Linked DNA regions of Tamandua tetradactyla. The protein of the gene in region 3 interacts with the protein of the main gene of each other region in a pairwise test. Links are inferred from orthologs where the notes say so. Each region holds a gene or a part of one and is shown on either strand. Other genes may lie near its edges. The genes, in order: C2H1orf94, TNIK, GSE1 and TRIP6.

The links.
Region 1: the proteins of GSE1 (region 3) and C2H1orf94 interact in binary tests that used the Homo sapiens proteins (3 or more experiments, as listed by UniProt). The link is inferred for Tamandua tetradactyla from reciprocal best matches to the Homo sapiens genes GSE1 and C1orf94.
Region 2: the proteins of GSE1 (region 3) and TNIK interact in a two-hybrid assay, tested with the Homo sapiens proteins (2 studies listed by BioGRID and IntAct). The link is inferred for Tamandua tetradactyla from reciprocal best matches to the Homo sapiens genes GSE1 and TNIK.
Region 4: the proteins of GSE1 (region 3) and TRIP6 interact in binary tests that used the Homo sapiens proteins (3 or more experiments, as listed by UniProt). The link is inferred for Tamandua tetradactyla from reciprocal best matches to the Homo sapiens genes GSE1 and TRIP6.

The regions. Positions count from the first base shown.
Region 1 is NC_135328.1:191,532,351-191,539,360, forward strand, and holds the start of C2H1orf94 (uncharacterized protein C1orf94 homolog), read right to left. Parts: upstream 3,012-7,010; 5' UTR 2,153-3,011; coding exon 1,824-2,152; intron 1-1,823.
Region 2 is NC_135331.1:68,895,017-68,902,600, reverse strand, and holds the start of TNIK (TRAF2 and NCK-interacting protein kinase), read left to right. Parts: upstream 1-4,579; 5' UTR 4,580-4,711; coding exon 4,712-4,768; intron 4,769-7,584. UniProt on the Homo sapiens protein: Serine/threonine kinase that acts as an essential activator of the Wnt signaling pathway. Recruited to promoters of Wnt target genes and required to activate their expression. May act by phosphorylating TCF4/TCF7L2.
Region 3 is NC_135342.1:79,795,942-79,803,615, reverse strand, and holds the start of GSE1 (genetic suppressor element 1), read right to left. Parts: upstream 3,017-7,674; 5' UTR 2,397-3,016; coding exon 1,407-2,396; intron 1-1,406.
Region 4 is NC_135349.1:8,877,339-8,884,551, forward strand, and holds the start of TRIP6 (thyroid receptor-interacting protein 6), read left to right. Parts: upstream 1-4,198; 5' UTR 4,199-4,408; coding exon 4,409-4,517; intron 4,518-4,748; coding exon 4,749-4,876; intron 4,877-4,993; coding exon 4,994-5,119; intron 5,120-5,381; coding exon 5,382-5,759; intron 5,760-6,061; coding exon 6,062-6,155; intron 6,156-6,261; coding exon 6,262-6,431; intron 6,432-6,891; coding exon 6,892-7,070; intron 7,071-7,213. Other genes in the region: SLC12A9 (solute carrier family 12 member 9), read left to right, coding at 1-166, 313-487, 683-829, 2,637-3,538. UniProt on the Homo sapiens protein: Relays signals from the cell surface to the nucleus to weaken adherens junction and promote actin cytoskeleton reorganization and cell invasiveness. Involved in lysophosphatidic acid-induced cell adhesion and migration.

The DNA.
Region 1 (7,010 bases), on a different chromosome or scaffold from region 3:
CAATAAAAACAGAACAGCTGGGTTGAAGTGGGGACTGGAACCCAGCAACCAGTCCACTTGACTCTTGGGTGGCCCCTGCAACACCTTAGGGTCTGTGGAGCATGGGTTTAGAACTCCAGGTAGAAGTCAACAATAACAACAGCAACAAAAATGCCCAAACCCAAGAATTATATTTTAAGGACAGCCTACATTAGTATAATGCATCTCTGTTTTCCTGTCTTCCATCATATTTGATCCTCATTATCAACTCTGAGGTGGACAAGGCAGGACACATCATCCTCAATTTGCAGATGAGAAAATCCAGGCCAAATGAAATTAAGCAACTGGTCAAAGGTGTGCCAGTTCAATTTTTGGCCAAGTACAGACTGGAAGAGAGTCTGTCTCTATTCACTCAGTGGGACCTGGCAGGGAGTGTGCCGCCTACTGGAAATTGCTACTGACCCTTGGTCCACAAAGTGGACAATTGGATGCCTGGCCAATGGGACCTGAGCACAGTCCCTTGGGTCCCTGTGCCAAGGCCCTGTCTCTGAGCAGATGGCAATGGGTAGGGGAGAGAGGCTTATTGCCACTGGAGGGCCTGACAGCACGACTGTGGCTTTAGACAGGCCACTCCCATCCAAGCCTTATCCTGCTCAGCATAGGGCAGGGGAGGCATTCGCAGCCAAAGTGCCTTCCACCCTGGTCTGCAGCCAGTTGGTAAGTGCAGCATTCAGTGCAGACCTGTGTAGCAGCTATAGTTTGCTTTTCTCCTTAGCTCTTGCTTGGAGATCCCTGAATCTGGAGGCAGCTGATAATTGCCTGCATGGTTCCCCCACTCCAGAGCATCTCTGAACTGAGCTGGAGCATGTGTTGGCATAGACAACACTTAATTATCGCTTAGTCTTTAATTAGCACTTAACTGTTAACACTTAATCCATCTGTAAAATGGGGACACTAATACCTGCCTCATCGGGACTCCAGGAGGATTAATTAATGTTTGCGGTCCACTTTGAAGTTGTAAAGCACTGAAGAAGTGCTCAACAGTGGCATTAACAGCCACACTGAATTTATTTTCTTTTTCTTAATGAGGTCTCTTCCTTTTCGCTGCTTCTTTCTCTCCTTGCAAATATCTATTCCCAACAATATCTGTCCAATTTTGCCCTGGTAAAGAAACATTTAGCTCTGTGTATCCCAGACACAGGATTTCCCATCCTGGAAACGGGCTATTTACAGCCTTCTTCCCACACTTTAATTTTCTATTATGTCCTCTGAATATGTCAATGCCTTCCCAGTAAATATTTTGATGTGAGCTTTTGCAGCAGCTTCTGTGAAGGCTGAATGGGACAGCTGCTTCCTGTATTAGGGAATTCCAGATGTGGTTTAAAACCACCAGGCTTATCTTGTGTGAATGCCCAACCTTTGGGGGGGGGGGGGTCAGAAGAAGGATCTTCTGTCAGATTCCGGGGAAAGCCAAGGGTCTCCGGGGCCCACAAGCTTCAAAAGAGATATCTACATGCTCCTCAGCCTTGGCTAGGGCGTTTTCTGAGGAACCTCAACCCCAAATCTGGTTTGGCTATGCCTTGAAGATGAAATATGTCCCCTTACTGGGCTGGTGAAGAAGCAGCCTGGAATACAGCCCTGGTCTGGCCCTTCATCCAGTAACGTCAAGACCTAAGACAGCTCTTCCAGAAAGGCTGAACAAAAGACCATGGGGAAGGGTAGAGGAAAAGTATATAGTCTTTAGGGTTTAATCAGACTGAATATTGGGCAAGAGCATTTCCCCGGAAAGTCAGAACTCATCTCCTCCCTCCTCCCTTATGCCAACCAAGCAGGGGTACACTCACTCTTCTTGGAAGCTGAGCCTGTTATCTCGTGGAGTCCCAGCCATGGGGGCAGAGGGCTGCTCCGTTGAGGTCCTGGGCTGCAAGGCCTCCTGCAGACCCTGAACCCTCTTCCAGATTTCATGGCAAGTCTTGTCTAGGCTGTCTTGGGGTGTGTCCTGGTGGATCCAGATGTATCTGGGGAATGGGCCCAGGGCGGAGGGGCGCTTGGCCATCAGGGCCGAGGATGAAGGGAATCCATTCCCACTGGCCATTCTCGTCCTTTCCTTCCGGAAGCCCCTTTGTCTGCCCAGGGCTCGCAGACAGAGGGACCATCCGCCACCACCCTTCATTCACCAGAAAGGGAGATAAGGATGGGCACTGGCAGAGGCAGGTCAGTTCTGGCTGGCCGTTGCTTGGACGAGGTGACTATGTTCTGAGGCCCCTGATTTGTCTGTGAGTGGTGGGTAGAGGACGGCTTTCTTTTGGGGAGGGGGAGCTTAGTTTGATTTGTTTGTATCTGCTCTTCCCTGACTTTTGTCCCCCTCCCCCTCTCCCTTAGAAGAAAATATTTAAAAGTCAACAAAAACCAGTAGCTTAGTAACCGTGGAATCCCCCGGAGCTCAGGAACCAGGCGCTTGGGCGGGCAGAAGGACATCTGGGAACGGCTGGAGGGGGAGGGCTGGCTCTCCCCAGAATCCCAGGCGCTCCACCCTTGCGACACACCCCTGACACCTGGCGGCGCCTGGGGCTCAGCCCATCCTCTCCTACTAAGCCACGGGGAGGGGGGGAGTGGTGAGGCGCCTGGCTCCGGGCTAGGCCCGGTGGGGGCAGGAGCCCGCCTTTAGAATCTCAGCTCCGGCCTTCCCAGGCCGAGGGCCAACGGCCCCTGACCCCCTCTCCCCACCGAGTGCCCGCCTTTGCTCGCCCCCCACCCCCTTCTGTCGCCTTCTCCAGAGGCTGCTCTGCCGCCCCGGGGCAAGAAAACTTGAGTCAGTCAATCCGGGCGGCCCGCAAGCCGCCCCCGGCAGCCCCAGCAGACGCCGGTCGCGCCCCCCGCGCCAGGAGGCCGGGCTGGGCCCCCGGAAGGGTCCCGACGCTTTAAAGGGGCGCTGTCGGGCAGGGCGGGCAGGGCGGGGCGGCTTTGGCCTATCTGCGTGCCAGCGGCCCTCACACCCTTCCCGTCCAGCGCTGCAACTCCTTCTGTGGCTTTCAAACGCAACGGCTCGGGGCGCGGGCCGCGGGGGTTCGGCGTCCGAGGCCCTCAGGCCGCCGCGGTGGGGGCGGGGGCGCCCCGAGGGTCCCGGGCACTTTCCCTTCTTAGAAATCCAAGAAAGCGGGGCAGCCTCTCACCCTGCTACTCCTCTCCCCGCTGCTCCGCAGGAACCTCGGCGCCAGCCAGCGGGCCGTGCTCCTCCACATCGCCCGATTATAACCCTAAGTGCCATTTTATGGGCACTTCCTGTGTGCCGAGCGCTGAGCTCTCCGTGTCATCATACACAATCTCTGCAAACTCACGCAGTTAATACCGTGTCTTTATTATCGTTCCCCATATGCAGAAACAGTCTCACGGTCATAAACGGATGAGTTGAAGGCCCACAGCGAAAACGGGCGCTGGGATTCAAACCCAGGCACTCGAGGCCTGCGCCCGCGCTCTGATCCCCGGGAGAGCCTCTTCCTTCCCGCGCTGGGCTTCCACGCGTCCTGGGAATGGGCGGCGGTGGGGGGTGCGGAGGTGCAGAGAGAAGGGCCAAGTGTGCAGTTTGCTAGTCAGGTAGCTTCTGCTCTCATTGAAACTGTTTTATTACATTCGGAAATGACCCAAGACTTCTGCCCCAGGCCCTCCAGCCCCAGGAGTTAGTGGTTGTTCCTCGGGTTGTTTCCTCTGAGAAGGAAGAGTAAGAAGGCAGAGAAAGAAGAAAATGGAATGGATACAAATAAACGAGAAGGCAGCCTATAGACATGGAGCTGGACTGACTCCTGGCACTGCCACTTCCAAGGTGTGGGACCTGGATCGACTTGCTTAACTTCTCCCATCTTATGTACTCATTCATTCACTAAATATTGATTAGCCCTTCCTCTGGCCCTTGCTGGGCACTGAGGAAACACGAAAATGAACAAAAGAGCTCACCTGATCCTGTATTCCAGGGAAGGATGATAGATCACACAGACTTGGCAAAGCAAAAAATAAACAATATTTATGGATCAATAGGGCTGGGACGGAAAAGAACAAAGTGAGGCAATGGGGAGTAGGTGGGTCCCCATAAGACGATGGTCCAGTAGACTTCTTTGAGGACATAACTTTTGAGATGGCAGGAAGGATGAGAGAGAGTTTTTCCTGTAAAATGGTGACAGTAAACCATAATAAATTATATGAGACTCAAATTTCCAGCACATAGTGGGCACTTAGTAAATATGTGTTGAGTGAATTAATGGTATACTATATGTTAAGTGTCTGGCATATAGTAGGTGCCCAATACACTACCTTGCTCTTTACAGAGAGGCTGAGTTCCTGGAAATGTTGACTCAATTTTGAAATCCGAGCTTCATCCCTCTTTGATTTTCATTATAAAATTGAAAACGTGTTCCTTTGGGGAAAATTCCAAGGACCTAGACTGAATAAAATTATAGTTAAGAATGTAGAAAACCTTTTAAGATAGTGTATTTAAAGGCAAAGTGATAATTTCTGATGAAATATTAATAGTTCTGAAAATGTCACTCAGTGTTTGTGCTACTTGGCATTTGGTTGGCTAACACCTATGCTTAGAGCAGAACACCAGCTACCCTGCACTACCCAGGCCATGGGATCCTGGAAAGTTAGCCAGCTCACTTACTCCTTCTGCCCTCTCTCCCCTTTAGCAGGAGACACGGGACAGGGAACAATGATAAGGATGTTTCTTGGAGCACACAACTGAGGCTTCCAGAAGATGCTGCAGACCTTAACTGATACACTTAGAGATAATATAAACTGTGTGCTATACAGTAACCCCTGGTCACATGTGGCTATTTGGGTTTAATTAATTCAATGTACATAAAATTAGATATTCAGCTTCTCAGTTGTACTAGCCACGGTTCAAGTGCCCAACAGCCACATGTGGTTAGTTTTAGAATACTAGCACAGGAGACATTTCCGTGATCATATAGGCTCTAGGACAGACTGCCTGGGTTCAAATTCTGAGTTCTAGCAGCGTAAACTCAGGCAAGTTACTTAACCTCTCTGTGCTTCAGTTGCCACATCTGTAAAATGAGAATGATAAAGAACACCTGCTTTGTAGAATTGTTATAAATGTTCTATTACTAAATAATTGCTTACCACATGGCTAGTTCCTAGAACAACACCTGGCAAATAAGAAGCATATAAACATGCTGTGTATTAGTTTTCTCTGATTATATTGGACTGTGTGTCTCTGGAGTTCCTGAATAACAAGACTTTGTGCCATGCAAAAAGGAGAATATTCGCTGTATTTTCAGTTGTACAGGAAATTGCTCTGTGGCAGAGAAATGGACACCAGGCCTCATTTAAGCTGGCCTTCATGGTCTCCAGAAGGGAAACCCACAGAGTCACAGTTTTTCTTCTTGAAGACATATCTTTTAAAAAACCAGACTCTGCAGCCCAGTCTGGTTGCTGGGACATACAGGGGAGGCCCATTCCCAGGAAACATGTTTGCAACCTCCTCTTGCTTCAGTTCTGATGGTCTGTCTCTGAAGAAATCTGGCTAGGACCTACCTCTGCATGGTTGTTTGACCCAGTAAGCATACTAGACAGGGTAACTGGGGTCTCCCCCATTTTTAGGGATCTACAAAAAGTAGGTTTTTGAGCACCTACCATGGGCCAAGACTGTGTGAGACACAGGAGTTAGGGTGAATGAGACCTCTGCTCTAAACAAAGTCACAGTCTAACAAAGGAGGTACAAGCATTCTATAAGTGCCCTGGAGTACAGCACGGGTTTGATAAATGCTATTCCAGTCTCTGTTCAACACAGATGTATGTGCCCGGTACTGTTTGGGGTGCTGAAGATAGATAGTGAAGAAGACTGGCTTGGTCCCTTCCTTCTTAGAGCTTGAAATGACTCATTAGATGTTAACAGACAGCCTTTCATCTCTGAATTATTTTTAGCTTGGAAAGATTCTTAATTTACTCCTCACTAACCATATTACCCAGAGCAGGTTGTTTAACCTTTCTAGGATTATTTGCTCATTTATGAGCCAGAGATAATAAAAATACTGACCTCACAGAGTTGTTCATGATAATTGATAATACATGTAAAGTATTTAGACTAGTTAGCTTGGCACATGCTAGGTACCCAACGAATGTCAGCTATGATTATTTAGGGTTCTGGAATTCTTACTTTCCTATTTGGCTCTAGGAATGCCTCCGAAGAAGGCAATCCTTTTCACATATCTTTCAGCCAAAGCCTGCACTCACCTAGCTTCCACCTCCAACACAAAGCTGCTGGGTTGGAGAATCCAGAAAGGTGAGCACACAGCCTGGGCTCTTTTAAGGTATTTGTGGGCTTAAGTCTGCTTACTCTTACAGGCTCCAATCTGCATCTAATATGTTTCAAACACATCCACCTCGCCTCCAAAATACAACGTTTTGGCTGTAAAGAAAATTGAGAGGGTTTTTCCATTTTGCGTTTGAAAATTTGGGGCCATGAGTAATATATTTCATGTACGATTGGCTATGATTTCTCACCAGTCTCAGTGCCTACTCAGGATATCTTGCACAGTGAGAAAAATCCAAACTACAAACTCTTATCAAATGTAATGAAATTTTTATGACTGAATTCAACAGTTAATGAACTTAACATAATGTTACATTTTGCACTTAATTATTTAATGATTTAAATGTTGCAGGTTTTCCTCTTTGTATTTTGAAGCTAATAATGACATTTTCAGGCCTAAAACTTTTTTGTAGGTCCCTAAAAATGGGAGAGACCCCAGTTACCCTGTCTAGTATGCTTACTGGGTCAAACAGCTCAGGAGCGGGGCCCATGCAGAGGTAGGTCCTAGCCAGATTTCTTCAGAGACAGACCATCAGAACTGAAGGAAGAGGAGGTTGCAAACATGTTTCTTGGGAATGGGCCTCCCCTGCATGTCCCAGCAACCAGACTGGGCTGCAGAGTCTGGTTTTTTAAAAGATATGTCTTCAAGAAGAAAAACTGTGACTCTGTGGGTTCCCCTTCTGGTGACCATGAGCAATCCCTGCCA
Region 2 (7,584 bases), on a different chromosome or scaffold from region 3:
CTGGGAAAGCAAGGACTTGGTGTTCTCCAAGGTGTCTCAGTTTGCCAGGGCTGCTATGGCAAATACTCCACAATGGGTTGGTTAACTCGAGCAACGAGAATTTTCTGCTTCCTGGTTTTAGAGGCTGGAAGTCCCACAGGACGGCACTGACAGGGTTTGCTTTCTCCTGGAGTGTGCGGCAGGCTGGTAATCCTCCATCAATGCAGCTTTCTCTCTCTTCATGTCCTCCTCAGATTTCTGCTGACTCCTGGCTCTTCCTGACTGCCTGTGTTCAAATTTTCTCCGCTTATAATGACTCCAGTCATAAGGATTAAGGCCCACTCTGATTCCATTTGGCCTTGAAGTAGGATCTTCGGAGTTCCTATTCACACATGAGGAAACACCTTAACAAGCAGTAACATCTTCAAAGGTGCTATTTGCAAATGAGTTCACACCCAGAGGACTATGGGATTAACATGTCTTTTGTGGAGGGCATGATTCAATCTTTGTGGTAGGCTGAATTATGTACCCCAGAAAAAAAACATGTTCTTGATCCCATGCCTGTGGCAGTGAACCCATTGTAAATGGGACTTTTGAAGATGCTATTTTTAGTTGAGGTGTGTCCACCTGAATCAGGATGGGTCTTCATCCTGTTTCTGGGGGTCTTTAAAAGAGAAACCACAGAGAAGCGCCAGAATGGAGGAGCTAGAAGTCAGAAGATGAAACGCAGGCATCAGATGGACCTCAGAAGAGACACTGTCATGTGATGGGAAAGACAAGGCACCCCAAGATTGCCAACCTGCCAGAACAACTACCCATCCCACGAGGAAGCAAGCCTTCCAGTTTACAAAACCATGAGACAGTGAATTCCCATTACTAAGCCAACCCACTATGCATCTACGTCATAGCAACCAGGAAATTAAGACAATTTCCAACAAAAGGCTTTATCTTCACAGCTTAGAACTGTATCTTGCACAGAGTGAGCAATCTGTATATTTGCTGAATGAATCAGAGAATGAATTACTGCAGTTCATTGGTCACTCACCCAAATAAATGTGCCTAATCCTAGATCCATTGCCCCTAAGCTTGAAGCTGCCCCTGCTCTCACTCTAGTCCGGCCCCAGATGGTTTTTGATTGTGGCTCCATTGGTAATCCAGTCTTGCCTGTTTTATGTAACCTAAGAAATCCTCTGAGTTTCCGGACTACTGGGGCTGCATTTTTGTGTCTTCTAGAACTATAATGAATTTTTTAAAATATCCTTTTTTGTTATATCTAGGGATTTCTGTTATTATAGAAGATGCAGGGAATATGCTTTTAGAAGGTACACAAGCGGTATTTCAGATCCCCAGTGTGATTTTAGGTGGTGCATGATTTGACATTAAATAATACTGAACCTAAAAGCGAGAACATTACCCACTTAGGGATTTTCTTTCTTTTTTATAAATATTTAAAAATATATAAACATTTTTCAAATATACAGAAAGAAAAAGAACAATACCATGAAATCTGATCACCAACCATCCCGATTTAACAATTCCAAACAATTTATCATATTTGCTTGAGGTCTTTTTGCTTTTTTAAGACAAATTAAATATTGTTGAAGCATCCTTTGTGCCTTCCCATTTCTTTTTCCCTTCTCACTATGCTAAGGCTGAGCTGTCTCCTTTCTGCCTGTGTCCATGCTTTTCATAGTTTACAACAAATTTATATGGACATAAAATAGCATGTAGTATTTTTCTGCAGGCTTTCAAATTGTACATAAATGGTATAAATTCTCTCAATCTTCCAGACTACACCAAAGAGGAAAATTGTACTTTGGTTCACGTCTTGAATGCCTTTTCTGGCATTTACTAATCTCTCTTTTAACAAAGTGAAAGCAGGCCTCAGCCTAAAAGCCCGGGGCAAGCGATGATAGCTAGCTTCAATTTAATAATATTCATTTATTTTCCATTATGTTTATTTTAATTGTTCCTTTCTATTTTTTACCAAGTGTTGCTAGCTTTCCATGTACCATAGTGATTTATGTTTCCTTTTAAATTAATGTAAGAAAAAAAGTAAAGTATTGATTTAAAAAAAAGTTTAGCAATAATAACAGTACAGGTATACACAGACCTGACAATAAGTTACAAAGATTGTACTGGAGTAGCTGAAATTTCATACACACTTGACCTGGAGGATAAAGTTCAAGGTCCTCATTTGAGCATGCAAAGCTCTGCCTCATCTGACCTCTGCTTACCTCTCCAGTCTTTTTAACAGTCACCAGCCTTACTTTTCTTCTAGCAACACATCTGCTTAGAGTTTCTCCTCATCTTACCCTAACAGCTGGCGGTGCCTTCGCTATTGTGATCATCCCCCTTGTATGGTATTGTCTGCAGCCAGTATCCCCGCCTCCTCCTCCCCTCTCAGCTCCTCTCAGGCCCCTAGGACGCCCTCTACCTCACCACTGCACCGAAAGCAGAATTTCCTAACCAAATTCTGAATCCAAGGATAGAAATTTGATGCCCGTTATCATTGCACACTCATGGCCTGGACAGCGTACTAATGCCTAAAGAAGCGATCCGTTTGTGACATTTTGAATAAAATCTGGGTAACAAAATCAAGATGCTTTATGGAAAACAAACAAAGCAACCACATCTTTACCCCATTTTTTCCTGTGTTGGAGGTTTAAAAATAGTTCTATTTATAGATCTCAATGTCTGATCCTTATTTTCTTTCAACATGAGTCAATACATTAATTTTCTAGATGAAGGACAAAAAAAAGGGGACATAGGAGGGAAGAACAGGAAGATGAGAAATGAGCTTTTTCTTTTTACGTCATTTCGCAGAGCTTGGGGGCTTACTGCATGTTACTTACTGCACTGAACCGTGTGGTTGTGTTAGAAAATGAGAGGTCACAACAAGCGCTTTGAATATAACACGTTAATACGCTTGAAAATAATGTTTAAAGAGAAAGCTCCCAAACAAAACTGTTATGAGATTTTAGAGCAGCTTTCAAGTTTCATACTGAATGATCCACAATGTATAGGAATAAATACGATAATATTAACAAAAACAGTACAGCACACACCAATGTTGTTTAAAAGCCCCCTAATGTCTGGCAGTCAGGCTGAACTAACTGGTTTGGCTTCCATTCATTCAGTCAAGATCCTTACTCGGAGGAAGCTGAAATGCACACCACATGATTTCAAAGTCCTCAGTGCACTTGGCCAGAAGGAAATTCTCTTCCTATCAGAGGTGCAGAGAATATTTCCAAAGTTACTACTGTATTTGGGGAAAAAGTTCAGTTTAAAGCGTTTTCTTCTTAAATATCTAATGGAGCGTGGCCCAGGCCTGAGAGGAAGGGCTTGAGGGAAGTGATTTCACACCCTCGATTACAGAATGCCAGGATTACCACTGTAAACATTCGGCCTTGCAATGAGAAAGCGAGTGAAGGGCAATTGTTCTCACGCGTACATCTTGCCTGCTAACATTTTATCCTCCGGCCAAACTTTCTCCACTAGTTCGGATAGGTCAGCGGAGGAAACGCTGGCTGAAAAAGAAATGCAGAATCTTGGGGCAGCGTGCGCTGCCTCAGCCAGTGCTGCCTTTGGACAGTTACCTGGAGCACAGAAGCAACTACAACCTAAGCACAAGCTTCTCGGTTCAATTCGGTCGTTTCCGTGGGGGAACTGCGGCAGGGGCAGGTCACGGGTGTGGCGAGCCCAAGCCGGAGCTACGATCTCCCGGGTTTCCGGCTTCTGGCAAACGTCCCCTGCCCCGAAGCGGCGGGGGACAGGCCATCCCACATCCCGGAGACCGCCGGAGGCCCCGAGCCACAATCGCTGCAAACTGCCAAATGGGGCTGGGCGCACTGTATGCGCTCCTCTCCCTACTCGCTCGCAGGCTGGAGGCGGATCTCCTCTTCCTGCACACAAGTCCTTATATGAACCGGCTGCACCCACCGCGTAACTCCGGCCCCACAAATTCATGATGGGGGAGGGAGGCCGTTGCTCTTTCTGCCTCCGACTTTTGTCAACGCCAGAGCATCTTGAGACCCGCCGAGAAATCCCAGTGTGCGATGGCACGGGCCATTTTGCTGCAGCGCACGAATCGAACACAAGAAGAAAGCCTTGTCAATATGATAAGCACGTCAGGGTTCAGGATCAGCCTTTGGGATCCAGCCCGACGCGCCCGCGAGAGCCTGGGCGGAAGGGGTGCACCCCTCCCCCCTCGGTGCTGGTGCGGAGGACCGGTCAGGAAGCGCGACCTCGCCCCATTCCGAGACCACGCCTCCTCCGCGTCCTTCCCCCTCCTCCCCTTTACTCCTCCCAGGAAGCGGTGATCGACAGCTCGGTGTGGTTCTCCACCCCCACCCCCAAGCTGAGTGGAGGAGTTGATGTGTCTCATTATAACAGCCAATGCAGCCGCCATCCACGCACAAGCAAAGAAGCATGCCCCATTTAAATACACCCACGCAGCCCTAGCGCCCTTAGCCGATCGGGGCGCTCAGCCCACACGCACCGCGGCTCCGGGCTTGGAGATCGGCGCAGGTCGCTCCCGGACCCGGCGGACAGGCTCGCCGAGGATCGGGATCCGACGCTGTGGGGGGTCGGGGTGGGCGGGGGAGGCTGGGCCCGGGGACCTCTGGCGCGACCCGCTCATGAGGACGCGAGTGAAGTAGAACCGAGGTGGAATTTGCAAGGGAAAAGCTTTGAGGTGGTTTTGGTCCATTTTTCCGGAGAGGAAGTCGACATGGCGAGCGACTCCCCAGCTCGCAGCCTGGATGAAATTGATCTCTCGGCTCTGAGGGTGAGCAGAACGCGTTTTCCGATTTCTTTCCAGTGGTTTCGGGCTGGGTGAGTGGGCTCGGTGCGGGGGCTGGGGCTGACGGGCAGAGGCAGGGAATGGAACCGGCAGGGAACTTGGATTGTCGGTTGGGTCCGGAGACTGCTAAGGTGCTCCGGGATGAGTCGCGGTGGCAGGGACCGTGCGGTACGTGTCCTCCTTTGGCTGTGGCTCAGACTTCTGTGAGAGCGCGTGGACCTTATGCCAGTTTCATCTTAGACCAGTGTCAGAGCATTAAAATGAAAGACTTACTGGTGTGTGTGTGTGTGTGTGTGTGTGTGTGTGTGTGTGTGTGTGTGTGTGCACGCGCGCGCGTACACGCCCAGGGCAGCCGTCTTGTGCCAAGGCGCGAGACCCGACTATCCCTTTCTGCAAAAAGAATGATCAACGGCGTGAATAAAAGGCCCCTGCTCCTCGCGTTTTGCAGCTACCTGCAAGATGACATTGTGTGCATGACTGTCCCCACGAAGACGAACCTGCTGCCCTAAGGGGCCAGCGATTGCTAGGCTGGTCTTGCAGCTGGCCCCTGCCTCCCCTCCCCGTCTGCCTCCTGAGCCCCGGCACCCTTTCCGCGCTCCGGGAAATGTCATTCTGCCACTCACCTTTCTGTCTGCTTTTCACTCAGCCCCGCCCGTGCTTTCTGACTTTGTGGCTGTGACAATTTAGCTTGATGGCTGCACTCAAGCAGGTGAACGGCAGGTCTTTTTCTGCTACCACCCCCACCTCCCATCGCGCCGGAACTCCCGGGAATGTCTGTTTTCCTTGTGTCTGGGGCCAGTTCTTTGTAGCGCCCCCCCTACACCTTCCCCCCCACGGCCCCGGCCCCACTGGTTTGCCTTTCCCTCGGCGCGAATTGCCTGAGATGCCGTTCCATTGTATTGACTAAGACATCACTGGTACAGAATCCATTTTGCTGTTGTTTTGAGATAAGAAAACCAGGAATCCCAGTGCAGCCTCTACGCTTCCCCACCCCCCACTCCCAATCCCAGTACGGTCCTCAGGGGAAGGGGGCAGAGCTTTCTTGCCATTTTAATTAGATGCTGCCTGCCGAGAAAAGAGTGAGGAGAAGGATTGGGCACCGATTTATGGACGATGGCTTCCTCTTCTGAACCAAAAAAAAAAAGCCACTGCATGTACTTGGTGCATTGGAGGGTCAATGAGACCGAATGGATGAGGGGCTCTCAGCACAAACACGCAGGGTGGGTGACACACTGAAGTTCACACATGCCCTCGCAAGGAATATGCCGTTCAGACTGATGCTAAATCTTGGGCCGTTTACCTGACTCCGGAGTTCTGACTTTGCTTCGGTCTCCACGAATATTTTAAAGAGTTCCCACTCTGATCAAAGCGGTTTTATTTTTTTCTTTAGCCTCATTAATCCCACTCTCTCCAGCCCCCCCCCCCCTTTTTTTCTAACTTCCTTCTCCCACTCTAAATTCTTCAGTCCATGAGGTGAGGTTTCAGCAAGGCAGTCAAGGAATTGAGAGGGAACAGAGATGCCATTTGAAACTGGCTGTTCTAATAGTTGGGCAGCAAAAGCTCATTCATGTGCCATTACAGTAAGCTGTTTCTCTGGTGCTGAAATGCCACGTTCAGAACCCGCTGTCCCCTGGGCAGCTGCGGGGACTGGGGGCTGGGGAGTGGGGAGGGAAAGACGGAGGTTTCTTAACAGGGTGGGTGCTTTGGCCAAGTCTGTGGTTTCCTGCTTTAGGGGCTGTGTGTGTTCATTCGCCCTACTTTCTGCCCCAGGCATTGCTGTGGCCGCGGTTAATCAGGTGGATGGGTGGCCCAGACTTGGGGGCGGGGGAACAGTTCCTGGGGACAGGAGCTGAGCTACCGGCAAGGTTGGTGATGTTTAGGAGGCTGAATCTCAGACACCGCTCCTCTAATGCAAAGCACTCCGCTGTGATTTTAAGTTGGGCTGAGATGTGTCCTCCTGGGATTTTTCCTCGGGAAGATTTTCTGAGACACCCAAGCACAGAGCCTGGAGGCTACCAGCAGCGGGTTCACCCAGCCAGTGGGGTGTGCGGCTCACACTTGGGATACCTGCGCTTGTGAAATTTGCATTTTGCAAAGGTATTTTTCCAATAATACCTGTGTGTGTGAAATTTGTATTTTGCAAAGATATCTTTCCACGATTCATTGGTATGGCTCTTTGTGGCCTGCCTGCAGTGCCAGTTTAGTGCAAAACTGGAAAGGGGGAGGGCAGTAGCACCAGAGATTGAGAAGTGCTGGCTGGTGGTGAACTTCAATGGAGATGGGAGACAGTCACATCCCCGGGTGCTGGGGGCAACCCACAAGTCTCGTGGGGGCATACAAGCCAGGAGAGGGTTTAGAGGCCACACAGGTAATCTCCCCAAATCAGAGGGCAGATCGTCGCTGTCTTTCCAAATTAGGAGAGGTGGGCTCAGCTAAATGAATTTGTTCCCCAAGATCTCAGAAAGGCCTCTGTGCCAGAAACCTCCTGGGGAATGCCTGACCCCTGAAATGCAGCCAAGGTCAGTGGCTTCTGGGAGAATTTGCTGCAGCCTTACCAATCCCTTGCTGTTTCTGTGGCTCTCTAATGTACACAATCAATGCTCTTTTTGTAAACCCTAGGCTCAATGCATTAAAACCAGCTCATGTCTGGAGAAGGCTTTATCCTCATTTTGGGGGTTTATTGTTCTCAGCCAGTGATCCTAGAGCTGGACCCAGTCTAATTTTTCCCTAAATAGTAACAATGCATAATTTAAACCAGGGCAACCAGTGACAGCACTTATCATTTAAATTATGCAAGGTTT
Region 3 (7,674 bases):
AGGCCGGGGAAACTGAAGCCCAGAGAGGCTAAGACACTTACTCACGGCTGCTCAGCTACCAAGAGCGAGGGGCAGGATTGGAGCCAGGTTCATCCTGTTGCAAAGCCCAGGCTCTTCTTCCTGCCTCTGCTCCTCTGGGAACTGCCCTTCTTCGGACTCCCGACCGGCCGGCTGGTTTATCCCAGGCCGCAGAGGAGAGGCTCGGGGTGTGCCACGGGGGCGACATGCTGCTGGTTTAAAATAAGAGGCGCTCCCAACAACGCCCCCAAAGGCAGCTTTAAGTCTAAATCAGATGTCAGGGGAAACCTGGACAGAGCATGTGGGCGTGGGGCCACAGATGGGACAAACACATGCACTTCACAGATGCAACTACCTGAGAACACATAACAAGGGGACCCCTCCCCACCCCAAAACGCATACATGTGCACACGTGGGAGGCGGGATCAGGAAATGTTCAAGAGTTGGAACAACCATTCCTGCACGGGACAGGGACAGGGACAGGGACACCCTCCCACCCACACGCCCCCCTGCAGACCCCTTGGCTACCAGGCATTTGATTAAAATGAGCCAGTTTCAATGTTCGGTGGAAATTAGGCCCCACAGCCCCGGAGGCCTAGGCAAAGATTGCAGCTTGCAGGCAGCCACTTCCCCAGACCCATGGGGCAGGCAGTTCCTGCTTCAGCCCTTGCAAATCGGGATCCAAAATTAACTGAGCCTCGTCTGGCTCCTCCTGGGCAGGCAGCGTGAAGACAGGCGCCTGCAAACAGGGAGAAGCCCAGGCCTCCCTCCCACGTCCTGCACAGCTGACTTGCAGAGAAGAAAGACTCTCTTCCCACTGGGGGAAAAGTCTGTTTAGGCCACTGTCCCCCGCATCCCCACACCCCCATGTCTGGAAATCCGTTTCTAGCTGCTGTTAAGCAAGCAGAGTGTCTCAAAGGAAAAGTGTGGACTTGCTGCTGGAAAACTCGGGAAAAGCTTAGCTTTGGGGGGAGTTAGAGCCGAGAGGCATATTCACCTCTGATGTGCTGCATACAGGGTAAATGTTGAGACCTGCCTCGCTGGACTAACTACTAATGTTATCAGGAGGACAACAGACATGCCAATGAACTTCCTCTCTTTGATAGATTCCGCAGCAAACACATTCAAGTTCAGCTCTGTGCCGACTGTTTGCAGCAGCGCCCTGTTCTCCCACAAGCCTGCTCCTGGCCCTCCAAGTCTTCTGACCTCAGCCAGGCCAAGGCACCCACCAAGAGCCAGCCTAGTGACCCAAGAGAGCACCTCTTGCTGAGACACACCACCCAGAGCCAATGCACACTCCTGCCCACAGGGAAATGGAAACTGGTCTCTCCCATCCCTGCACAGATTTCAGAAGAACAGTCTGAGGCAAGTCGGGATGCACTGCTTACCTTCGTCGCCGCTGCCACTGGGGAGCTCCAGCCTATGGATCCCTGGCGGCCAAGTCCATGGCCAGCACACACCAGGGTCCCGCACTCCACACAGGCACCAATGATGAGCTGTCGTCCGTCGTCCACCAGCAGGCTGTGGCTCGCTCGCAAGGTGTACAGGAACAGGGGCAGCCGGGCCACCCGCACGGCCCTCAACCCGAGACAGCGCTTCTTCTCCTGCTGGCAGAAGAAGCACACGAACGTGTCCACGTGGTACTGCCGCGACCAGGCACTGACAGCATGGTGGGCGCCTCGGGCCTCGTGCTGTAGCCACTGGCCCAGCAGGTCGTGGTAACAGAGTGCACATGTGGCCACCAGGCCGGTGGCATCCGCGGGCCTGGCGTGCGGGGCAGGCGGGTACACGGTGAGAAAGGGGAAGAAGGGCTCTTTCTCGCCCAGGCGGCTGGAGGGGTTCACGTTGAGCTGAAACTCCTTGCCGGGGCCCAGTTCAGCCCCACAGACGTAGCAGATGGACGCCGGGCCGCCCTGGACCGACGCGGGCGGCTCAGAGATGGCAGGGTCAGAGAAGGCCTGGTGGTACCTGCCCAGGAAGCCCTGCACGGAGGTGATGAGCTCCTCGTTCTGGCAGGCGCGGTACAGGGCCCACACGTCCTCCAGGATGCTGAAGCACTTGGGGCAGCTGCGGACCTCACAGTGCTTGTTGGGGGCGCGGGCGTTGGGGGGGCAGGGGAGGAGGCCCAGGAAGGGGAAGTGCATGGTGCTCCTGGCACTGCCATTGAGGACCCGGGAGGGCACTGCTCGGGCATCCTGGGTGCAGTCCTCCCCGCAAAGGTAGCAGGCCTCTCGCGGGGGCCTGGGGGGCAGGCCCTCTTCCTTTGGGGCTCGGGGGCCCTTGGAGGCCAGGCCGGGGGCGTGGCGGTTCAGGGGCACCACGTACAGCCGCTGCAGGACGGGGACATCGGCCAGCTCGAAGCTCTGCCACTGCTGCATGAGGGAGGCGAAGCAGCAGGCGCACACCAGGGTGCTGCCGCCCTGGCCGATGGGCTGCGCCCCGGGGGGCGGGCTGTGCAGCCACAGGAAGGGGAAGAAGGGGGCCTGGGCCAGCCTCTCCTGCTTCTGCACGTGGATCTGGTGCTGGGAGGCCGGGGACAGCAGAGACCCACAGATGTAGCAGCACAGGCCCTCCAGTGGTGGCCCAGGCCGGCTCTCCGGGGGAACCCAAGGGACACGGCCACCATTTTCCTTCTCTTGGGGGCCCCTGCGGTCCAGGAAAGGCTGCTCCTTGCGATCTTCTTCCTCGCTGGTGATGTTGATGTCGCTGTCCTCAGAGGAGAAGCAGCCTCCGCGTGTCTCCCCCAGAGGCCTGCTCTCTGGAGTCTTGGTGGCCCTGCCCGACGGAGCCCCTTTCCTGCCCTCTGCGGTGGGCACTTGCCCGGGAGGGCCTTGCCAAGTGTCCTGAATGCCCCTCAGGACGCTGGCCCGAGCCTCGGGGACCCACGGCCTCTCAGCCCCCTTCCGCCTGCGCCTGCCGCCGACCCTGGGCTCTGCGCCCACGTGGGCATTCGAGGGGACCCCCTCCTCCACGTGCCCGGGGGCGGCTGGCCTGACGCCCTGTCCCGGAGGGGGCCCTGGCACTGGCCTCCACTCCTGGTCGCGGTCCCCGCGGGTGCCGGACCCCGGGGTGGCCCGCGGCGGGGGCGCCCCGTCCTGGAGGGGACTGGCGGCGCCGCGCGCGGTCGGGTCGGGCTCGGAGAAGTGGTCGGTGTCCGACAGCTCGGACAGCTCGGAATCGCGCACCTCGTCGGCGGCCGCGCGGGACTCGGAGCGCTGGTGGTCGTCGTCGTCGCCCGCGGCGGCGCCCAGCGCGTAGGCGACGTTCCACTCGCGGGGGGCCCCGGCGCCCCCGCGGCGCCCGCCGGCGCCCGCGTCGCACTGGTGGGGCCGCTTGAGCCAGTACATGCGCTTGTCCACCGGCGTGCGGGCGCGCTCGAAGGCCGCCCACTGCTCGCCCAGGAAGCAGCGGCACACGGCGCACACCAGCACGCAGCCGTCGGCCGGGGACAGCTCGCGCGCGCCGGGCGCCGGCTCCTGCTGCTGCAGGAACGGGAAGAAGGGCTGCGCCGGGGCCCCCGCGCCCGCCGCCGCCGCCGTCGCCGCAGCCGCCGGCTGCTTCACCTGCAGCTTCAGCTCCTTGCCGCGCCCGATGCCGCCGCCGCAGATGAAGCAGGAGAGCGCGGAGCCCGGGCCGCCGCCGCCCGCCGCCCGCTCGCCCAGCGCGGCCATGAGCCGCTGCTTGCGGGAGACCGGCGCCGCCCGCCCGCTCATGGCCGCGCTCCCCGGCCGCCCGCGCCCCCGCAGGCCGCCCCGCCGCGCCCAGCTCCCACCATGTGTGCGCGCCGCAAAGTTTGGCGGCGGCCGCCCGGCGCCGGCCCGGGCGCACGGCCGCCCGCTGGGACGCCCCCCGGGCCCGCCGAGCCCCCGGCAGCGGCGGCGGCCCAGGCCGAGGCGGCGCCGCGGCGAGCGCGCCCGGAACGCAGCGGCGGCGGCGGCGGGCCCCGGGCGGCTGGAGCGGCAGCCGCATGTGCGAGCTCCGGCGCCTGCCAAAGCGTTGGGTCATTTAATTGGGGAGGAGGGAGGCGGGGCGGCGGGCGGGCGGGCGGGGAGGGGGAGGGGGAGGGCGGGAGGCCGGGCGCGCGGGCGGGCGGGAGGGCGGGCGGGGGAAGCCCTCCCTCCCCCTTCCCCCTCCCTCCCCCTTCCCCCTCCCTCCGCCCGCCTCCCCTCCTCCCGCGTCCCAAACTGCGCACAATAGCTCGCCGGCTCCTCTATCTATTTTGTGTCCAGCCCCGGAGCCGCGCACAATGATTCATGGCCCCAATTAGGGGCTCGCTCCAGCCCGCGCGGCCAAAGCCGTCTGAGGGGCCTCCTCGGGGACCCGAGGCAGCCCCGGGGCTGCCGGAGCTGGTCTTTAGCTAAAGGTCAAGCGGGACGCGGGCGGAACCAGGTAAGGACGCAGCGGCCCCTGGAGACCCAGCTGCCATCGATGAAGGGCAGGCCTCGGGAGGGGCCGCTGAAGGCGGACGGTTTGGTCGGGGGCTATCCCGGCCGGGGGACCTGGCCCTGTCCCCATTCTAGAGGGGACGTGCAGTGAGCACCTTTTACCAGGTGCTGGGCACCTTTCAGGGGCCACTGCTCTCATTTTGGAGGCAGAGAAGAGAACTGTCCCCATGATCCCTGTCCGTGGGGGCAGAATCCTTGGCCGGGCACGTGCCTTCCCACTGCTGGCCAGAGGGTACTGGGGTCACCGACAGAGGCGAAATGACCCTGTGTGTCTCTGGGCAAGCGACTCAATCTCTCTGGGACTCTTTCCTTCTCTTGTCAACAGGAGCTGCAGCTGAGATGAACTGTCCCCGTGTATTTCTTGCCTATGTATATAAATATGTCATATTTAGCAGACACATGGAGACTTGACTGGTGCTGCACACTGTTCGAGGGGTTTAACGCGCATGGTAGTTACTCCTTCTAATGACTGTGAGCCGCTGTCATCAGCCCCACTTTCCAGGTGGAAGAGATGAGGCACTGAAGGTTGTTACTTTCAGAAGGGTCAGAGCTGGGATTCAAACCCCGGGAGTGGGCTCCAGGGCTGGTCCCAGCCACCTGGCTGGGCCGCCTCTCCCCCGCTCTGCTGGGACAGAGACCTTCATGTCAGGGGGTGGGGGGGACCCAGCCAGGCAATTAGGCAATTCCAGCTTCTCTGGGCCTCACATTTCCCATCTGTGAAATGATGCCCCTTTCGGCCTCAGAATTCTAGGAGTTCTGATTTCTGAGCAGTGACAGCTGTCCCAACCTGCCAGCTGGAGCCCGGAAGGCGGTCTGGTGACAAAGGTGCCAGGTTGGCCCCTCCGTCCTCTGGGGCGATGACTTGTAAATAAAACTGGGCCTCCTCTTGGCAAGGAGACGGACCATGCATTAAAAATGAACGGACATTTTAAAAGGTCAGCTTATGTGTGAGACTAAAGCAAAAAATGTTTATTTGTTACAAAATTTATGTTTTAACTAGTGCATTTCCTAATATAACTCATGTAGATAGTTTGATTGAATGTCATAAGTACTTGGAATCTCAGGTAGGACATGAGATTTTGCTGGTTTGTCCAGAGTGATGCCCTAATGAATCCCAGAGTGATTCGATCAGTGAGTGAAAAAGTATTTGCAAAGCCGCCTTCAGGGAATGGTGAGAACGGGGAGAAATTCAACTTCCCCAAGTTGAATTCTTGATATTCTCACAAGCAGTGTGGACAACCAAAGCTATAGGCTGAGCCCCCAGTCTTGGGGTTTGTTCATATGAAACTTAACCCCACAAAGGATAGGTCAAGTCTACTTAAAATTTAGGCCTAAGAGTCACCCCCAAGAGAGCCTCTTTTGTTGCTCAGATGTGGCCTGTCTCTGCAGCAAACACTGCAAGCAGTCTCACCACCCTCCCCCTCTCTGCATGGGACATGACTCCCAGGGGTGTGGACCTTCCTGGCAACGTGGGACAGAGATCCTGGAATGAGCTAAGACTCAGCATCAAGGGATTGAGAAAAACCCTAGAATGAGCTGAGACTTAACATCAAGGGATTGAGAAAACCTTCTCGACCAAAAGGGGGAAGAGTGAAATGAGACTAAATGACAATGGCTGAGAGATTCCAAACAGCGTCAAGAGGTTATCCTGGAGGTTATTCTTGCACATTAAGTAGATATCACCGTGTTATCCAAGATGTAATGGAGAGGGTGGAGGGAACTGCCTGAAAATGTAGAGCTGTGTTCCAGTAGCCATGTTTCTTGAGGATGATTGAATAATGATATAGCTTTCACAATGTGACTGTGTGATTGTGAAAACCTTGTGTCTGATGCTCCTTTTATCTGCCTTGTCAACAGATGAGTAGAACATATGGAATAAAAATAAAATAGGGATAAATAAACGGACAGGAGGAAACGGCCACGTCTTTGGAGTCCCTGGTGGATATTCCAGGGGTCACAGTCCAGGGGTTAACGGGAACATTGTTGCCAAAATGCTGGCACTGCTGTCCCTCACCCAGGCCCGGGAAAACGCTGTGTCAGGAAAACTGTCCCAGAGACATGGGGGCAGGGCAGGAGGGCGGAGCCTGGCCCCTGGCTTTTTTAATACCTGGCGAGAGGAGGGGGCTCATTAGGAAGACTGTAAAGGGGCAAGTCTGTTTCATTGTGTCTCAGCACAGTTTGGGGGACTGTGTGGCCCCCCCACACACATGCACACCCCCGTGGACTGCTGGTGAAGCAGCGCCTGGGCTTAGCAGATCCAGGTGGGCCATCGAGGAGCACCTGGGCCCCTTAGGGCTTGGCACGTGTTGCCCTTTCCTCCTGCAATGCTTTTCGGGCTCCAGCAGCTTAGATGTCATCCCAGAGGGGCTCCCAGTGCCACCGCGCCCCCCCCCCACCCCCCGCAGGCCTCCCCCTCGTCCTTCTCCATCTCAGCCCCTGGCAGAGGAATTTGGTTTTATTTGTTTTTCTGTCTCTCGCTCCCTGTCTGGCTCACTCCTGCCTCTCCTCCCCCAGGGCAGAGCCAGGTCTGACCTGCTCACTGTGTGTCCGGGGCCTGCCCAGCGCCCCAACCTGTCCCACTCCTATCCTGTCCCTCCCAAGCCTTGGGCAGACCCTCAACCCCATGAGAAAGCCTCAGGTTTCTGCTCTGGTGGGGGGCAGTGACCCCCACCTCACAGACATTTTGCGCGGCTCCAGTGAGAGTGACTGAGGCGCTGGGCAGGGGGCCTGGCCCGGAGCGGGTGCCGCTGCCTGGCCGCACTCTGGGAGACGGTGGGCTATGCGGGGGTGGCACACGAGGTAGAGCAAGGAGAGCCCAAATGGAGGGATGTGGGGTCTCCTCAGCTAAACTGGAGAGCCAGGAAAACTTCCTGAGTGTGCCATACATGTGGGCATGTGTATATACATGTGTGTGTATAGGTATGTGCATGTGTGCATGTATAGGTATGTGTGTGCATGCACGTATATAATGTGTGCATGTGTAGGTATGTGTGTGTGCATGGGTGTATATACGTATACATGTATAGGTGTGTGCATGTGTGCAAAAGTGTATATACATGTGCATGTAAAGGTATGTGTATGTATATATGTGCACACATGGTTCGTGTGTGTGTGTGTGTGTAAAGCAGCCCAGGGTGGAAGTCCAGCTGGATATTACCACAAGGACCCAATGACTCAGGTATGTCCTCTCTCCCATGTGTCAGGAGCCCGG
Region 4 (7,213 bases), on a different chromosome or scaffold from region 3:
CACCTGCCTGCTGGGGGTGGCCTCCTGCCTGCTCATGATGTTTCTCATCAGTCCCGGGGCCGCCGGCGGCTCCCTGCTTCTCATGGGTCTGCTTGCTGCCCTGCTCACAGCCCGAGGAGGCCCCAGCAGCTGGGGCTACGTCAGCCAGGCCCTGCTCTTCCACCAGGTTGGAGGAGCCTGGAGGAGAGTGGGAGGGAGGCAGTCTGTGAAAGCCAGCCTCCTCCCTCGGGGGTTGGGGTTCGCATTCCTGTGGCACAGCGTGGGGACTGCCCCTTCCGGCCCTCCCTCCCACCCCCTCCTCCCTGTCCCCAGGTTCGCAAGTACCTGCTCCGGCTGGACGTCCGGAAGGATCACGTGAAGTTCTGGCGACCCCAGCTGCTGCTCCTGGTGGGGAACCCCCGGGGGGCCCTACCTCTGCTGCGGTTGGCCAACCAGCTTAAGAAGGGCGGCCTCTACGTGCTGGGCCACGTCACCCTGGGGGACCTGGGTGAGCTGCCCACATCCCCACCCTTCCTTTCTGCTTGGTCTCAGGCATTCTGTGTGTCCCAAGCGCCTTGTCCTTCTTCCCACATGACCCAGCTGACCAGCCACCCAGGCTTTTTCCCTCTGCCCATTAAGGGTTTGGTCTCTACGAGAAAGTAAATGAGTTTGTCCGACACTGGCCACCTCCCTTTCCCTGCAGACTCTCTGCCCTCGGACCCCGTGCAGCCGCAGTACGGGGCGTGGCTGAGTCTGGTGGACCGGGCCCAAGTGAAAGCCTTTGTGGACCTCACCCTCTCGCCCTCCGTGCGCCAGGGGGCACAGCATCTGCTGCGAATCTCAGGCCTTGGTGAGCCTCTCCTCCCTGCCCCACCCTTTAAATCTCAGCTCCCGCCCCAGAGAGTAAACCATAAACTGCAAACCCCAAAAGGAAATCATGATCTAGTACAGCTAAGAGGCAGTGCTCAAAGATAACAGCCTCAGACAGTGGATGATAAGGTTTCCTCAGAGATGCAAAGGACTAAAAATGGGGTGATACTGCTTTTTTTTTTTTTTTTAACCCCTGAGCCAAAAAAAAAAAAAAAACGGGGCACAAGCTCTGATTAAGTAGGTTATCTGGGGACAGTGGAAGAATGATTTGAGTCTGGAGCTGCCCCATCTGAAGTAGCGCAGATGGTTTCTCACCACCAGAGTTGAGAAAAAGGAAGACTACCATGCACGGAGGTGGCCAGTAAAGAGTGTGAAGGGACGGCATCTGAGCCGGGCCTTAGGGGGTGAAGGCAGGCATGGTGCAGTGCAGTCCAGAGACCACAAAGCACGCTGGGGGCACGTGGGGTTGATGCTCTGGGATGGGGGGAAGGTTCCCAGCTTTGCAAATGTATCTTGGAGCTGTGGCTTCTGGCCTTGTACCACACGTCCTGCCAGATCCATGCTCAGCTGCCTTCTCTGCCCTTCATCCCTGGGCTGGTGTCTGTCTCCTATGAGGGCAACCCACCTCCCCCATTTAGAACCTGGCTCAGGTTCATCAGTGTTGGACATGGCCCTATTTGGTACCAGTCAGAACCCTAGAAAATGCTCAGGAGGGGGTATGTCTGGTTGAACTTGCAAGATCGGCTTTAGTTCATACCTCCTGAGAGCTGCCCTTTGTGAGGATACCTGTGCAGAGACCCCTGCTTTCACAAAGTGCATCTTGATTTAAGTAAAAGGGAAGGGATCTCTTCTAATTAGGAAATTCTCCCGGCACATAGAATTTGACTTAGTGGTAAATTTTTAGCAACCCAGTTCCTTTCCAAGAAAGGGACTTAGGAGAGGTCTCAGAATTTTCTTGCAAATTCAGCCCTTTCTAAGGGGGAGAATTGCCTGATTCCCCACTGCTGTTCAAAAGTTAAAACTCAAGCCCTCAGCAGGGACGCTGTGGTTTGTGCACACATCAGCTTAGGGGTGCCAAATACTCGGCTGTGGTGCCTGGCAGCCTGTGTTCTCACACTGGCCCGGCCACTTACTGGCCTTGAGACTTTGGGCTGGTGATTTCACGGCTCTGTGCTCATTTTCGTTGTCTGTAAAAGGGGGAGCACGGAGTCCCCACCCCGGAGATTGTTCCAAGTATTAAAAAGTTAAAATATGAAGGGCTTCCAGCAGGCCCTGGGCCCTGGTAAGCATGGAGATGTTAGCTCTGTCTTCTCCCAGGATTGTGGGGAACTATCCTTGGGGCGGTGCTAGAGGGGAAACAGGCCGCACAGCTCCACGTTCTCTTCCCCTTGAGGCAGGGTCTGGAGCTGAGTTTCCTGGCCACTGAGGCTGTGAGCTTGACTAATCAATTGGGGTGTTTGTTCTGCCCAGTGGGGTCTGCTTCTCATCTCCCGCTGGCAAAAAGATGTGCTGCTTCAAAGCTTGGAGTGAATGGCAGCCGGGTCCTTGCTTCCGACCAGGACTGCTCCTTAGTTAAAAGAATCCTAAGGCAGACTTTGTCTATTTAAGCAGCGATCAGTAGTGTTGATCAAACAAATGCGCCTGAAAATGCTGAGGAAGAACTAGAAGTCAAGATGCAGATGCGCATTATGAGGCCTTAAGAGGCCAAACCACTGGCTTGAAGGTGCTATCCGGTGAGCGCGCACCGCTGATGCAGAGCCCTTCTCCCCGCCTCCCCCTGCCCGCAGGCGGCATGAAACCCAACACGCTCGTCCTGGGCTTCTACGACGACGCGCCGCCGCAGGACCACTTCCTGAGCGACCCGGCCTTCTCCGAGCCGGCCGACGCCGCCGCCGGGGAGAGTGGCGCCCCGGCCCTGAGCGCCCTGTTCCCGCCGCCCCGGGCTCCGGGGAGCCCCCGGGCCCTCAGCCCCCAGGACTACGTGGCCACCGTGGCGGACGCCCTGAAGATGAACAAGAACGTGGTGCTGGCCCGGGCCTGTGGGGCGCTGCCCCCGGAGCGGCTCGGCCGGCGCCCGGGCGGCCCCCCGCAGCCGCACCACGTGGACGTGTGGCCCCTCAACCTGCTGCGGCCCCGGGGTGGACCCGGCTACGTGGACGTCTGCGGCCTCTTCCTGCTGCAGATGGCGACCATCTTGGGCATGGTGCCTGCGTGGCACAGCGCCCGGCTCCGGATCTTCCTGTGCCTGGGGCCCCGGGAGGCCCCCGGGGCGGCCGAGGGGCGGCTCCGGGCGCTGCTGAGCCAGCTGAGGATCCGGGCCGAGGTGCAGGAGGTGGTGTGGGGCGAGGGCGCCGGGGCGGGGCAGCCGGAGGCGGCCGACGAGGGGGAGGAGGGGGACTTCGTGAACGGCGGGCGGGGGGACGCGGAGGCCGAGGCCCTGGCGGGCAGCGCTAACTCCCTGGTTCGGGCCCAGCAGGGGCGCGGCGGAGCCGGGGGGCCCGGGGGGCCCGAGGGCGGGGACTGGGACGCGGGGCCCGCCACCGCCCTCACCTTCCTGTACCTGCCTCGGCCACCAGCCGACCCCGCCCGCTACCCGCGCTACCTGGCGCTGCTGGAGGTGCTGAGCCGGGACCTGGGCCCCACGCTGCTGGTCCACGGCGTCACCCCCGTCACTTGCACGGATCTCTGATGGCCCAGGCAGCCCTTTCCTCGAGGGGGCGGCCGCCTCGGCGAGTGGGGAAGGGGGACGAGGGCAGGCGCCTCCTCCCGCTGCCCTGGAGCCGGATGGAGACGCTCCGGGCGGCCAGAACCAGGACCGGGAAGCCCCCCTCCCCCTCGTGCACCGCTGCCCACCCCCCTGAGCCCGGGGACGGACGGGCCGCTGTCCTCTCCTCGGACCGGTGCCTTGACAGGAGGGGCTGGTTCTCCTCTTGTGACTCTAGGCTACCTCAGTTTACTCCTTCGTGGCTGACAGACTCACTGACTCCTGAGGTTGTGATGTTTTTGTTCTGTTTTATTTTTCTAACTCTGCTGAACGTGAATAAAAGACCCAAAAACTCGGCTGGCTGAGCATTGCCTGGTGGGGTCGGGGAGGGGGCGGGGAACGGGGACATCTGCGGGGGCGGGGGGGAGTGGGACAGAGAGCCGAGCGGTCCCTGCAGAGGTCCACGTGCGGAGTCGGGGGTGGGAGCCAGGGGCGGTGAGGGCCGTGGAGGCTAGTTTGGGGTGGGGAGTTCGTGGGGGCTGGGGGCTGGCGCGGGCCCCATCCCGTCCCGGGCGGACGCGGGTGGAGCCCTTCCCACTCGGCAAAAGGGGGCCAAGTCGGGGAGGGACGGCAGTTTGGGGCCTAGGGGGCCACGTGACCCTCCCCCAGGAATGCGGTGACGTCATCGGAGGCGTGGCCGTCCCCCAAATTGGGGAGGAAGGGAAAAAAAAAAAGCCAGAAAAGTTTCTTTCCTGGAGTCCCGAACGAAGCGTGGAACGACAGAGCAGGCCACGGCTGGAGGACCCTCCGCGGTCAGGGGACCACTCGCTGGAGCCTCCTCCCCCATCCCAGGCCATGTCGGGGCCCACCTGGCTCCCCCCGAAGCAGCCGGAGTCTGTCCGAGCCCCTCAGGGGAGAGCGTCCTCCCGAGGCTCCCCGGGGCCACCGCCAGCCCCCGGAGCAGGTAGGGCAGCCCTGCGCCGCGCGTGCGGCGGGACGGGACCACCGCGGCCCAGCGCCCTCCCTCCCGCCGGCGCCTGCTTCCTGCCGCCCCCTCCCCCAGGCCGGGCTGGGGCTGGCGGCCAGGGTCCCCCTCTCTCCCCGCCCTGCAGCCCTCCCTGCCAACTCGGACCCCAGGTGTACTCCTCCTCCCCTCCCTCATCCCCACCTTTGGTCTCTCTTCCCCTCATCCCAGCCCTCCAGCCCCACCCCAGGGTCAATTTTTGCCCCCTCCCATCTGAGCAGTGTTACCAGGCCCCCGCGGTACCGGAGGATCCGGGGCCAGCCTGGGTGGGGTCCTATGGAGCGCCCCAGCGCTCACAGGTGAGAACTGGGATTGGGGGGCAGGGTGCGTGGGGCCCTCGGAGCTGAGTGTGAGCCGGACCCAAGATGGGAGAGGAGATGTGATTTGCATTCTCTCTGCTTTTATTCCATCCCCAGGGACTCCCCCCAGATAGGGGGGGCTTACGCCCAGGAAGTCTGGACGCTGAGATAGATTCTCTGACCTGCATGCTGGCTGAACTGGATGGGGGTCGTGGTCATGTCTTACGGCGACCAGACCAACAGGTGAACCCCTGTCCGGCCCCCTCCTGCCCCCAGCCTGCCCATCCTCCCCAACCTGTCCCTTTCCCTCGGTTCTCAATCCAAATCCAGTCCCCTTCCCCTTCCTACCCCATACACACCCATATTGAAAAGCGTGGGAACGGGAGCTCTTACTAATTGTCTGTGACTCAAGGGCAGGGCCGCCTCAAACACGTGGAAACACATGGTTCCATGAACACATGGTCTGGAATGGGCCTTGGTCATTGTGGTCTGTGTTTCCCCCCAGGCTTATGAGTCCCCTCAGCCCCCTGCCTACCGCTCCAGTTCCCTGAAGCCGAACAGAGGGGGTGTTCCAGCCCTGCAGCTCCCAGCATCCTCCTATGGGGGTCCCACTCCGGCCTCCTACGCCACTGCCAGCACCCCAGCTGGCCCGGCCTTCCCTGTGCAAGTGAAGGTGGCTCAGCCAGTGAGGGGCTGTGGGCCACCGAGGCGGGGGGCCTCTCAGGCCGCTGGGCCTCTCCCTGGCCCCCACATTCCTCTCCTAGGCCGAGGGGAAGTCTGGGGGGCTGGCTATCGAAGCCACCGGGAGCCAGGGGGTAAAGAGGAGGCTGCTGGGGTTTCTGGTTCAGTCGGAGGAGGAAGAGGAGGCGGATATGGGGCCCAGGTAAGCCTGAGGCACTGGGATTTTGCGTCCTCATGGACAACTAGATGCTGATGGTACGGGGTACAGGGTGGAGTTTAGTGTCCTGGTTTTAAATCAGAGTCTGAGGGCCCGGGCCTCAGAGCTCTGGATCCCTGAGGGATGTGGGCAGCCTGGGAAACAGGAGGGAGAGGGCTGCCATTGGCTCTGTGAAGCACTCCTGTACCTAGGGCTGAACTGTTCTCAGATGGGTTTTCTGGGTTGACCTGTCACTGTCAGGAGTAGTTGCCAGAGGTAGGACTGAAACCCCGATTCTTGCCTCCCAGGTCCCCCTGAGCCAGCCTCCGGAGGAGGAGCTGGAGAGGCTGACCAAGAAGTTGGTGCACGACATGAACCACCCACCCAGCGGGGAGTACTTTGGTGAGCAGGGTGGTGGGAAGGGGCAGGGGGTACTAGAGAGTCAGAGGGACGGTGGGCCTGTCTTCCTGGGTCTGTGCAGGCTGACCTGTTTCTTCTCTGACCCTAGGCCGGTGTGGGGGCTGTGGAGAAGATGTGGTCGGGGATGGGGCCGGGGTGGTGGCCCTCGACCGAGTCTTCCACGTGGGCTGCTTTGTCTGTTCCACATGTCGGGCCCAGCTCCGGGGCCAGCATTTCTATGCTGTGGAGAGGAGGGCATATTGTGAGAGCTGCTACGTGGTGAGTGGCTGGGAGGCTGGCATTGGCAGCAGGAGGCAGGGGGCTTCTCTCTAATGCAAGAACTAGCTGTCCAAGCCTAAAAAAGGAACAGGTTCAAAGCTGGGAGAATTGAGACTGAGACAGGAGAAGAAAGGAAGAGTTAGGTAATAGCTAAAGATCTGGGCTGCTGGTGGGGAAGGACAACATTCCTTTCAAGAGCAAGGCAGATGAATTAAGGAGCTGCCTTAAATTCCCACCATGCCCCTGCCAGGCAGGTATTCCTATTGCTTCCCATTTATATAGCTCAGAGACATGAAATGACTTGTCCAGTAACCTGCAGTGCTGAGACTTGAACTCAGGTCCTTTGCAATGATTGTTCACTGAATCACTGGCAGTGGGCTAGATAAATAGATGGTGGGCTGACAGAATGACTGGAGAGCTGCCACGGGGCCCCCTGACCATCCTGCTCTCTTCCCCACAGGCCACCCTGGAGAAGTGCTCCACGTGTTCCCAGCCTATCCTGGACCGGATCCTGCGGGCCATGGGGAAGGCCTACCACCCTGGTTGTTTCACCTGTGTGGTGTGCCACCGTGGCCTTGATGGCATCCCCTTCACTGTGGATGCCACCAGCCAGATCCACTGTATTGAAGACTTCCATAGGTCAGGCCCTGCCCTGCCCTTTCTCTCAGGATGCCCGGCTCTTCCCATCTCCCTCACCTCTGCTGTTTGCCCAGCACCAGTCCTGTTTCTAATCCCTGGCCCTGTTCTTTGGCCTCACTCTTTTCCCTAAGACCCCTGTCCAT